Linked DNA regions of Mus musculus. The main gene of each other region encodes a partner of the protein of the gene in region 2 in a complex. Links are inferred from orthologs where the notes say so. Each region holds a gene or a part of one and is shown on either strand. Other genes may lie near its edges.

Region 1 (4,538 bases), on a different chromosome or scaffold from region 2:
CGCGCGTGTGCATGTGCACATCTTTCCTCAGTCTTGCCATCTAGAGTCTCCACACCACATTCACTCTTGTTGCAGCTGAGGTCAGAGGAAGAGTCTCGCTCTATGCCCAGCAGCTCCCCAGCAGCACTGCTGCCCCTCCTACACTGTGCTCCGGTTCTCTGACGCCTGCATTATCAGGAAGACTCTTCATAAGTGTCTTAGCAGAGCTATTTCAGTCATTCGCTACCCAAGCTGAATGAGATCTGATACCCACAGGGTCTAGACCAATGGATCGTAACCTCTGGGTCTCAACCCCTTTTGAGATTGAATGACCCTTTCACAGGGGTCACATAAAGTCATTCTGAATATCATATTTACATTACAATTCATAACAATAGCAAAATTACAGTTATGAAGTAGCAATGAAATAAGTTTATGGGTGGGAGTCGCCATAACATAAGGAACTGTATTAAAGGGTCCCAGCATTAGGGACATTGAGGGCCACTGGCCTAGACCAAGAGCTTCACAAAGCAAGTACTTCAATAAGCGTCAGTCAACTACCAAATGAGGAAGTGACCTTGGCCACTTAAAGGCAAAGTGCTACACAGGGAAACACACCGAGCAGGGAGGAGGCAGCTGGCAGACAAAGATGGAGCCTTCCTCACTTACCACAGGGAAGAACAATGACTCCTGAGCGTGCTCGTCCGTTCCCAAACATCTTCCGCAGGCTCTTCTCCTGATAGGGTCTGAGTACGGCTGTGGGCTTCAGGTCAATGTTGATGTCAGGATTGAGAGTGTCATTCCGGAAGTCATACTCTGCCAGCAGCGGGTACTCTAAGCAGATGCAGCGCTTCTGCAGCTCCTCGATCATTTCCTAGTAGCCAGCAGGAAGGACGTGTGACGATCTCAACTCCAGAGTGTCCGAGACAATATTCAAAAGGGCCGCATGATCGAAACCTGGCCTTTTATCTGGATGTATACAATTTCAGACCTTGCTTGCTAACAACTAGGTTTGCACAGAAAGGCAGCACAAACTAGTAACCCAGTCAAAATCAATGTACTATTTGGCTAGTTGATTTTTTTTCTTGTTGTTTTGGTTTTTGTGAGTCAAGTCCCATCTATTCCAGGCCAACCTTAAGTTCTGTCTGGTGGAGGATGACCGTCAACTGCTGATCCCTCCTCCCCTCCCACTTTCAGGCTGTGACACACACTACCGTGCGTAGTTTACGAGGTGCTAGAGATTGAACCCAGGGACTTACAGCTACGAAGAAAGTTATTCTACCAGCAGATCCGTATTCCTGGTCTCCTCAAAATGAACTTTAATCTGAACCAAAATGGATCCTATGGAGAGCAGCTTCCTAGGCCACGGAAGGACTCTCAGCCCATAACTCCCACCAGGAGAATGCCATGGCTTATACTTGTGTAGAACCCAAACAGAAACATACAGGGGTCCCTTTCTTTACCTCACAGTGGAGGGTGCTGACACAAGGCAAGACTGGTAACCAGGAAGCAGTCACTAACCTGCTTAACTTCAAAGGACACTGTCTGTGTCTCTTCCTCCTCCTCCTCATCCTTGTCCATTTGCTCATAAAAATCAAACAGGTCTTTGGGTATGTCAGACGTGGCCTGTGCATCTACCCCCTGCGAAGTAGAAGGCCCGCCACTGCCTTCCGCCGCCGTCTTAGAAATCTGTGAGAGAAAGGTAGGAATCCAGACTCTGCACCTTGTTACCAACCATGAACTGAAGCTGTGCTGGGGACCAGGAAAACTGAGGTCCTAAGTGCCCAGCCCCCAGGAAACCCAGGAGCTCACGCACAGCAGATTTGCTTGTAAAAGTCTCTGTGATGAGTTCGGTGGCCTCGCCCTCGGCGTTCCTCAAGCGACATTCCCGGATCACTGGGTCTTGAAGAAGATGCTGGATAACATCAGGGTGGGAACTTTCAACAAAGTACCTACAAGCAGGAGAGGAAGGGAGTCCCTGCTGGCCAGCACTGCATTTCTAGAACATTCTGCAATTGTAACTCAGTTGGGTGATCTGAAAATTACAGCCTCGTAATGACTCTCCCCACACCTTTGTCAAATCAGAGAGAGGAGCTATGGGCAAAGCTCTAACAGGCTGAGGGTCAGAGGAGAACGGCACCCTGAAGTTAAGTCAGCATGTCAGCAGCAGGAGTGAAAACGCCCTTCCTTGTGAACTCTCCTAAACCTGGTTGCACCCGGGAAAGGAGCAGAGTTAAACTCAAAGGTCAGAAATGCTCTCAGCTTGAGTGTGGTCGCTGCGATTCACGCTCTTCTTTAAAGCATCTGTATGTAAAAAGGAAACCCTACTGCCTGTGTGCATCATCATCACTGCCAATGTTAACTTCCAGACGCTTGACGGTCACTCCGCTGCAGGGCCTCCTTCTCCTTCCGGGGTCCCCTCAACTCCCCATCTATGTCTCAGGAACGGTGTGAGCCCGCCCTCCCTCCCGCCCTCTCTGCCCTTCCTCCCTCCCTCTCTCCCCTCCCTCCTGCCCTCCCAGCCTTCCCTCCCTCCCTCCCTCCCTCCCTCCCTCCCTCCCTCCCGGCTGGCACACAGAGGGCAGTGCTCACCTGTTGTGCTTGAGGACCAGCTTGACCTTCCCATAGCTGACAGTGCACAGCTGTAAGCAGAGGAACAGCAAGAGACAGGCTACGTCAGCGCTCAGAGCATGCTACTCCACCAGGCTCAGCACCCGGCCAAGGGACCGGTGGGTGTACTTTCGGAAAACATCAGCCACAGCCACAGCTGCCTCAAGGGGGCTTTTGTCCGTTGACCTCCATAGTTTTGGGATAAACCCATCCTTTGCCTAATTCATATGCCTAGCTTTTTATTTACAAACCACTATTTACAACCTCTGCTGTGTTTTCCGTTTTCCTTTCCCCTGCATGGCCACAGCCCCCATCCCGACCTGGAAGCCCATCCTGCTTCCCCAGAAGTCACCAGGCACAGTGAGTGCTGGCAGGACCTGCTACACACAGTAAGTTCAAATACCACAAATGTTTAGACCTTCACACCAATGTTCTCCATTTCCACAACCTAAAGAATGCCATCTTTTCTTCATTGTATTGGCAAGTGAACTCAAGACCATGAAGCTATATCCCGAACCACCACCACCTCTATTTTTAAGTTTTGAGACAAGTTAGAAATTAACCTTACAATCCTCCTCCCTAGACATCTGGCACTAAGGGGCGCGTGCCACCTTGCCAGCACAGTGTAAGCCTCTGAGGGACAGGGAATAGAGTTTAAGTCCCCAATCTGCTGGAAGGGAGCAGGTCGTTTGTGTGTTCGCCATAACTTGCTACTGAGATTGTGAGCTGCCCCTCAGAGCACAACAGCACTGCCCCAGCACGACTACCGTCCTTTAGACCATGTAGACCAAAGGCCTAGCCCTGGTGCTTTCTTCGTCAGCATCCTTCTGCATCACAGAACAGAGAACTCTGTCGTGCTCCCAGGCTTCTGCTCATGGCACACTCTTCTGCTTCCAGACTGAAATCTAATTTGAAGTCCTTTCAGATTAGCCAATACTAACAAAAACTGTTCTCCTATCTTCTGTGAATAATATACACCTATATTCAACTGCTGTTCCCATGAAACCCTCTTCAGGTCAACATTTCAAGTTTTGTCTTACCCTAATACACTTAATTTACCATGGATCTTAAGTATTTACCTTACATGGAGCTCACTTCCTGTAACAGCTAACCACCAAAAAAACTCCACAACAAAAGCTTATGTTCTCAGAGTTCTAACTACTCAGGATCAATGGACCAGGACCAGCTAATTCAGGCTGTGGTAAGGTCTCCTGGCTAGAAGAGAGTCACCTTCTCTCTACACAGTCCCATAAAGAAGGGACTTATGACAACTGTATAATTCCTAATAAAGACAAGCACCTTCTGAATGGGGAGACATTTATGACCTCATTTAGTCTTACTAACACACAGGTATTTGGGGTTAGGATTCTGATATGTACATGCAGGCTATAGTTCCATCTATCCAGAGCTGGATTCTCAAGTAACCCTGGCCATAGTGGACCTGAACTTCTACTCCCATGGCTTGGAGCAGCCCACAAAACACATGATCTCAGCCAGAACCATGGCTGGATCTAAAGTGGCAGCAGCTAGGCACGAAGCTATTTTGCTATCAAAGGAAACACAAATCAGACATTTCAATGACAACATATAGTAAGTACGCACCTGAGCACAAGAGTTGCTAGTAACTCACCTTAATAAACTGGATAATTCCATCAGGAACTCCAGTCTTACTGAGCTTTCTGAGGTACTCAGTAATGTCACTGGTTTGCAGCCCAACACTGACCGCTGCATAGAGGGAGTAGGCGGTTAGCTTGTATTCATGTACATGAGTAGGCCGGCACACCGGCTCTGCAATTGCCACCAGGAAGTCTTGGGCATATTTGTAAACTGGAGAGAAGGCTTCCAAGAAAATGTGGCCATCAGGAGCCTAAAAGGCATCAAGGGAACACAACAGGCAAGAATATCAATGAGCTGCAGAGACTATGTCACAGGATTTCTGATCACACTGC
Region 2 (4,538 bases):
ACTACATAGTGAAACCCAGTCTCCCTCTTCCACTGCCACGCCTCCCCAAAAGACAATTTCATAACTTCGGGCTTTTCCAACTTACATATAAATCAATTAGGAAGATGCAAGGCAAGCTGGAGATACAGCTCAGTGACACAGCACTAGCCAAACATGCAATGGCAACAAGCAGCTTTTACAAGTGAGCCTCAAATTTAATCCCGAAAATGTATTCTTCATGACCATAACTTTCACTGCCAACCCCTTAGGACATCAGAACTTGTTAGTAAGTAATGGCCCTGGTATGTTTCAATGCCTCTAGTTCCTTGGGTAAGCATTATCAAATACTATTGTTGGAAGAGTTTTTATTTCAAATAACAAGAGAAACACTAATGCCTTTGTGAAAAACTTTCTAGAAATCTGAAGAACTAAATCATTATGCAACATAAAAACAAAACAAAACACATGCCTCCCCCTTCCCCCCGAAAAACCTGTTAACATTACACAAAGGTGATTATTTTCTTTCCTGCTCTGTGGCACCGAACAAAGTGTTTTTTAGTTTGTGTGTAAGTGCTTTGTCTAAATGCAGGTATGTGCACCATGTGTGGGCCTAGTGCACTCAGAGGTCAGAAAAGGGAGTCATATCCCTGTGAAGTGGAGTTAGACAGTGCTGTGAGTCACCATGTGGGTGCTGGGAACAAACCCAACTGCTAAGCCATTTATCCTTCCAGCTCCACAAAATTCAAATTTTAACTGGACCACTAAAGCCCCATGTATACAGAATAAAGACTTTAAAAATAACTCCACTTTCTTCCCTCCCCTTTCTTTCTCCCTTTTTTCTTTCCTTCCTCTTCTCTTCTCCCCTCCCCCTCCCCTCCTCTCCCCTCCTCTTCTTTCTCTCTCTCTCTCTCTCTCTCTCTCTCTCTCTCTCTCTCTCTCTCTCTCTCAAGTTTAAAACCATGAAGAGCAGACTAGAAAGATGACTCAAGTTAAAAGCCCTTGCTACTCTTCCAAAGGACCCAAGTTCAGTTCCCAGCAGGCAGTGTGAGCTTTAGCTCCAGGGGATCCAACACCCTCTCCTTTCCTTGACATGGGCAGCTACCCAAAGATACACGCATAAAAACAAGTGTATCTTAAAATCATAAGAAGCGCCGGGCATGGTGGCACATGCCTTTAATCTCAGCACTCGGGAGGCAGAGGCAGGCGGATATTCTGAGTTCCAGGACAGCCTGGTCTACAGAGTGAGTTCCAGGACAGCCAGGGCTGCACAGAGAAAGCCTGTCTCGAAAAACAAAAAAAACCAAAAAAAAAAGCATAAGAAGCTGGGCATGGTAGCCACCTTTCATGGTAACCCCCACTTTCAGGGGTAAAGGCACACAGATCTCTCAGTTCCAGGACAACCAGGGCTACATACATAGTAAGACCCTGTCTCAGGAAAATAAAAAACCACAACATTACTAATTCAAATTATAGTTATGATACAGGAGGAAAAGAAACATTACCTTGACAGCTTTCTGGGAATTAGGCAGTCCCTCTTCTATGTCTTCTAAGAGAATTCCTCCTAGTCCCCGCTGGTCATGATTGTCTAAAAGCCTAAGCAGGGCCTTCTTATCTTTCAAGTTGTACTTAGGTTTGAAGGCATATTTCCCATCCACTACTTCAATTTTAGGATTGTTGACTAAAGCCTGTAAAAATAACACAATTTGGATATATTTATAAAAAGCAAACCCCATGTGTATGTTCTTAAATTCTAGCATCACCCAACACAGTGGCATCCTGAAGAATCATATGAACATAAACTAGCAGACCTAAAACACCAGATATCTAGGATCCCAGACCAAGTGAGTCAGCATAAAGTTTGCTTCTTACTTAAAAGCAAATGAAAATTTCATACATTATTTGCATACATTCTTTAGAGAGAAACTCGTTTTATCATAGCTACTTTGAAGAACATTTACTCTTTTAGAAGACAAAGTAAGGCTGGAGAGACGGCTCAGCAGGTAAGAGCACTGACTGCTCTTCCAGAGGTCCTAAGTTCAAATCCTATAATCTCAGCAGTTAGGAAGCTGAGGCAGGAGACTACTGCCAAGTGTGAGCCAGCCTATATTACAGAGTAAGATTTCAGCTAGAAGTAGTGGCATAAAACTTTGACCCCAGAACCTGGGAAGCAAATGGATCTCAGTGAGTCTGAGGCCAGCCTGGTCTACACAGTGAGTTCTAGGCCAGCCTGGTCTACACAGTGAGTTCTAGGGCAGTCAGAGCTACACAGTGAGACCCTGTTTCAATCAATCAATCAATCAATAAACAAACAAACAAAAAAATCACACCCACATAAAAAGAATAAAACAAAAACAACAGTCTTAGGCAGGTTCTGCTTCTAGTCACTGGTGAGTAAGTGACAGCAGACATGACCTTCTGTGACTTGGACTAAGTCAAATCACTTCACAGTATGAAAATCAAGAAGTACATCTGACTTGATAAAATAAATTAATTGAATTAGGCCAGTCATGGTGGCACACATCTATTTTTTTTAAGGATTTATGTATTTTTGTAAATGAGTTCATATATATACATATTTCATATATATATGAGTATGCTATCTTCATGTTCACCAGAAGAGGGCATCAGATCCTATTACAGATGGTTGTGAACCACCATATGGTTGCTGGGAATTGAACTCAGGACCTCTGGAAAAAGCAGCCAGTGCTCTGAGTCATCTCTCTACTCCAGCACATGTCTTTAATCCCTGCATTTGAGAGACAGAGATAGGAGGATCTTTGTGAGAGAAAATCTGCCTCAAATAAATAAATAAATAAATGATTACATCTGGTTGTTTAGGGGGTATTCCTTTTGTGTTGTTTGCTTTACTGTAGCCCAGACTGGCTTTGAACTCACTATGATTAATGATGCCGTGGTCCTTCTGCTTTTATATCCCAAGTGCTGGGATTACAGACATGTACAACTACATCCCAGCTCACATTGGGTCCGCAGATACATCACTGATCTTGAAAAGTAGTATTCGTTAACACCAATAAACTTTAAAGAAGGTCTAGAGAGATGGCTCAGCAGTTAAGAGCACTGACTGCTCTTCCGAAGGTCCTAAGTTCAAATCCCAGCAACCACATGGTGGCTCACAACCATATGTAATGAGATCTGACGCCCTCTTCTGGTGTGTCTGAAGACAGCTACAATGTACTCACATATAATAATAAAATAAATCCTTAAAAAAAATAAATAAAATAAACTTTAAAGAAGCAAATACTAAAATAGCTGTCATTCATTCACTTGCAAACTGGCATGGTCAGAGACTGTTTTAGGCGTTCTTCAAATGGTATGTATTTATTTAAACATTAACAATCATATTATTTCTCTAAGTAACTAGAAAAAATAACTCATTTATCAAACCACAGAATGCTAATAATGTAATAAAATGGTTTACTGTCCCATCTTAGGCTTTAAATTTTCTAAAGCATATATGCAATATATAACTTGTGAGTATATAAGATTATGAGTTTGACAATTCAAAATACTATTTATGACAATGAAAAATTGGTACACAGACTTCACAATTCTACTGTAGTCTTAGAGGACCTTTTAAAACATAAATAAAATTATATGGAAACCAACAGCCAAACAAATTATAAAAATGTGTACATTTAAATTCAACCAAGACTATACATCAAGTCTCTTAAGAAAAAGTAAAAAATATTAACAAATTACAGGATTAAAAAAAAAACCCACTCTGAGCCAGGCACATTGACTCATGAAGCTAAAGCACAGAGTGCACTGAGCCTGAAGTCAACATGGATGACAATATGAGACCTTGCCTCCCACCCACCTTTCTCCTCGCCTCTCTCCCCGTCTGACACACACACATGTGCAGACACCCACCCCATCCCAAAATAGTAAAACACGTCTACAGTTGAAGATGACTTGACAGTGGACCGTTCTAGCACATGCTGGGCTGGGTTCCATCTCCAGCACCACACTCACCACAAAAAAAGAACTCTGTAGCAGACACACCTTTCTGTAATGAAGTAATGTTTACATTAGTGTTAAGACTGCTCTTACCGGGCTGGTGAGATGGCTCAGTGGGTAAGAGCACCCGACTGCTCTTCCGAAGGTCAGGAGTTCAAATCCCAGCAACCACATGGTGGCACACAACCATCCGTAACGAGATCTGACGCCCTCTTCTGGAGTGTCTGAAGACAGCTACAGTGTACTTACATATAATGAATAAATAAATCTTAAAAAAAAAAAAAAAAAAAAGACTGCTCTTACCTCCGTCATCAGCCACTGTTTCTGCTTGAGTCCGATGTCTAAGTGCTGTGTCTCATCCAGAATCTCTTCCAACGTTAGAGGATGTGTATCTCCCCGCTGATGTCGTGTCTAGTAGCAAAGTTTTCAAATGCGTTCACTAAGTCATATATAAACTAATATTTTCAGGAATATACAACATGTGATATCTGAGACAGTATGAATACCAGGATCAAGAACATGAAATCATACAAAATCAGGTTGATAAAAAAAATCAAATGATAAACTGAGAAGAAAAAAAA
Region 3 (3,581 bases), on a different chromosome or scaffold from region 2:
TCATTTTCTCCTGCCATGTAGCTGTTTCCTCCAAGCTGGCTACAAGCACCACCATCTTGAATCACAGTAGCCCGTGATCCGAGACAGGACTTCCTGAGATCCAGCCTGCTAGCATCCCTTAATGTTAATCCCTCACACGACTCTTGAGCTGTCTCCTTTCAAGCATTTTTTTCTACTATTTCCCCTTACTTTCCCTCCAGAAAGGAGGTGGAGGATGGGGGAGAGGAATGTTTGGTAGGGTCAGGTAGAAGTTCAACCTTGTATGTATGCATGTATGTATGTATGTATGTATGTATGTATGTATGTATGGCTGCCCTGGCAGGCTGACTTATGTATGTATGTATGTATGTATATATGTATGTATGTATGTATGAATGTTTGGCTGCCCTGGCAGGCTGACTTCAAACTCCACAGGCTGGGATTTAAGATGAGAAGACACAGAGGTCCTGATTTCTAGCACTGAGACAGGAGCACAGTCACTCGCTCCTTCCATATCACCTCGGTAACAGAATACGTGTCACTCAGTATTGGATCAGAGGTTTGGATTAGGTATCTACCTTATGAGGAGTCTTTAGTGTTTAGGTCTTCCAATCTGACCTATCTTAATTTGAAGGTGACAATATGAACTCTTTAAGGCCACTTCAAATACATTCTCCAAGACAGCCTCCTTTCCCTTAAGATGAAGTATGTCTACCACAAGGCTAAGGACCCTAGACGGTGCTCCCCATGGTGAGTTTCCATCCTGTGTCCAGGGCAGGCAGAGTGGTGGCAAAGTTCTTTTAGTCAACTGTCTCTCACTCTTTAAACATTGCAGGGTGGCTGGGGACTGGCTCAGTGAATAAGGGTATGTGCTATGCATGAAGACCTGAGTCTGTCCATTAGCACTACCGTTAGTGAAAAGACTGCTGTGTTCCCACTGTACATGCCTTGAACCCCAAGGTACAAGCAAAAAGAGAAAGTGAAGACAGGATTGTTGGGGCTTTTGGTCATCCAGCCTAGATATAGGTTCAGTGAGACAGAGCCCATTTCAAAGGACAGAAATATGGGTATACACCCAATGTCCTCTGCTAGTCTCCTTACATAGATGCACACACTTGCACATACATATGTACAACACACAAACAAACAAAAGCAACTTCTGGGCTAGAGTGTTGCTCAATGGTACAGCACTTTTCTAGTATGTACAAGACTTTGGACAGAACTGACTCCTGCCCCCCACACATGTGCCATGGATCATGTACCCTCTCCCCATTAACAAATAAATACAATTCTTTTAAAAAAAAACAGTGTTCTGGTTTATTTCTCCCCTTTACAACCAAGTGAAAACACTCCTCTCCTATGCAAGTTTTTTATATATCATTTTAGCTTCAAAAACTACAAAATAATTGACATTAAAATCTGAAGTGTCAAGAACAAAAAAATAGTAACATGGGGTCCAAAAAAACCACGGTACGAAGTAGTCAACGAATGTTTGAACATCATTCTACCTCAGCAGTTCAGGATGGCAGCCTGCCTGACCACAGCAGCCTTAAAAGGCTGCAAGGAGCGCAGATGGTAGTTATGGTCTAACAGTCACTGTGAAGATAGCACCTACAGCATCAATAGCCAGCCTTTCTTTCCTCTCCAGAAGCCAAGCTGAAAGTGTTGGCTCACACCTGTAATCCCAGCACCTGCGAGGCTGAGGCAGGAGGACTGTTATGACTTTGAGAACTGGAGAGACACTCTCTCGCAGTGAAGCAAAAACTACGAAAGAAGCTCCAGCGTCTTCTGAAGCAATGTTCCTGCATGAGGCCTCCCCAGGCTTCAGACCGTGGTGCTGTAACTCAAGGAGCAGAGTGACGTCTGCGGATCAGTACTGGAAGCTGCGCTTCGTCTGGATGTCATCGAGAATCTGCTGCAGCTCCTCATCTTCAAAACGCCCTTCCAGGCTGTAAGAAAACCAAGAAATGTAAGTGACTTGGCCGCTGGAGGTTTCCCCAGTCTGTCAAAGGAGGCTCATCTCCGAGCAGCTCGCTTAGCTCTACTGCCTCGAAGTTTAAACTGAATGGTTTTTGACATTCCTTTATATAAGCACTAAAAAGTTGTAAATAGAAAAAAGATTTTTAAAAGCTTCAACAGTCACACATGATGTAAATTTAATTTTGTTTTGTTTTGTTTTTTTCGAGACAGGGTTTCTCTGTGTAGCCTGGCTGGCTGTCCTGGAACTCACTCTGTAGACCAGGCTGGCCTCAAACTCAGAAATCCGCCTGCCTCTGCCTCCCGAGTGCTGGGATTAAAGGCGTGCGCCACCACTGCCCAGCAACTCAAACTATTCTTAAGCCAGCATGACCATTTACACCTGTAATCCCAGCCCTTGACAGGTGAAAGCAAGACAATCAAGATGTTCAAGGAAAGCCTTGGTTACCTGAGACTACCACCAACAAACCACAAAACCAATCCCCAAATCCTATCTCAAACACCATTCAACTACATTCCTATTCAATGCTGCCATGTCATTAACCCAAATATTAAATGCATACAACTTTTAGTTCTAGCAATTTGACTTATAGAAATCTATAGAAAATAGACAGAAATCTATCCCATCCGGTACTAACCTTGGAATCAGAGCTTTGGACTCTTCAGCAGTCTCCGGGCAAAGATTGGCTAAACAGGCCAACTCAAACTTATGTAACTTTTTCTGGAGAAGCAAGCTGATTGTAGCGGAAAATAAAAACACAGAAAGACTGTGATGAAGTGAGCAGTAATGGGGGGAAATAAGTATGATCAAAATATATACTTGAATAAAAATGTCACAGTGGGACCCATTACTATGTGTAGTTATATGCTAATAAAAAACAAAAATTAGGCCGGGCGTGGTATTGCACGCCTTTAATCCCAGCACTTGGGAGGCAGAGGCAGGTGGATTTCTCAGTTTGAGGCCAGCCTGGTCTACAAAGTGAGTTCCAGGACGGCCAGGGCTACGCAGAGAAACCCTGTCTCAAAAAACAAAAAAAATTATGTTCTCATTCAGTGTCGGTCAAATGCTAATCATTCATCAATAGCAAAAAGGAGATTGTAATATTTGATTATGGTTATGTGGGCATCAGAATCCTCCTTTGAAGTCACTTCCTGTTCCTACCCCAGAAAATCAACAAGTTCCAGAAAAAAACAAAAAACAAAACAAAAACAAAAACAAAAAAACAAATGAAAAACAGCAGGCAGAGCCAAGAACCCTGAAAAGAGCCCAGCAGGGTAAGGCGGCATATACACGCTGCATTGGAGAGGGAACTCGGGAGTTAAGTGATGCTCTTTTTAGAGGTCACAGGTTGAGTTCACAGTACCCACACGATGGCTCACAACAGTTTGAAATTCCAGATCCAAAGGACTCACTCTGGACTCCGTGATACTGGGCACTTGTGTGGTACAGAGGTAAAACACTCGTACACATAAAATAAAAATTGAATAATTTAATAAAGCTTACTAGAATAAGTTTGGTTTCAAAATGTATGTAGTAAAAACTTATATACTCTAGAGGACTGGCGAGATGGCTCAGCAGGAAAAGCATCTGCTAATGTTCAGAGGACCCAAGTGAGGTTCCTAGC

What was found.
Region 1: Gtf2e2 (region 2) and Ercc3 share a complex: the UniProt entries of both Homo sapiens proteins name them as parts of the TBP-based Pol II pre-initiation complex. The link is inferred for Mus musculus from reciprocal best matches to the Homo sapiens genes GTF2E2 and ERCC3.
Region 3: Gtf2e2 (region 2) and Polr2d share a complex: the UniProt entries of both Homo sapiens proteins name them as parts of the TBP-based Pol II pre-initiation complex. The link is inferred for Mus musculus from reciprocal best matches to the Homo sapiens genes GTF2E2 and POLR2D.

The regions. Positions count from the first base shown.
Region 1 is NC_000084.6:32,242,882-32,247,419, reverse strand, and holds part of Ercc3 (general transcription and DNA repair factor IIH helicase subunit XPB), read right to left. Parts: intron 4,457-4,538; coding exon 4,220-4,456; intron 2,622-4,219; coding exon 2,572-2,621; intron 1,932-2,571; coding exon 1,796-1,931; intron 1,669-1,795; coding exon 1,501-1,668; intron 854-1,500; coding exon 649-853; intron 1-648. UniProt on the Homo sapiens protein: ATP-dependent 3'-5' DNA helicase/translocase. Binds dsDNA rather than ssDNA, unzipping it in a translocase rather than classical helicase activity. Component of the general transcription and DNA repair factor IIH (TFIIH) core complex.
Region 2 is NC_000074.6:33,755,682-33,760,219, reverse strand, and holds part of Gtf2e2 (general transcription factor IIE subunit 2), read right to left. Parts: intron 4,369-4,538; coding exon 4,261-4,368; intron 1,665-4,260; coding exon 1,482-1,664; intron 1-1,481. UniProt on the Homo sapiens protein: Recruits TFIIH to the initiation complex and stimulates the RNA polymerase II C-terminal domain kinase and DNA-dependent ATPase activities of TFIIH. Both TFIIH and TFIIE are required for promoter clearance by RNA polymerase.
Region 3 is NC_000084.6:31,794,397-31,797,977, reverse strand, and holds the end of Polr2d (DNA-directed RNA polymerase II subunit RPB4), read right to left. Parts: intron 2,691-3,581; coding exon 2,595-2,690; intron 1,929-2,594; coding exon 1,850-1,928; 3' UTR 1,269-1,849; downstream 1-1,268. UniProt on the Homo sapiens protein: Core component of RNA polymerase II (Pol II), a DNA-dependent RNA polymerase which synthesizes mRNA precursors and many functional non-coding RNAs using the four ribonucleoside triphosphates as substrates.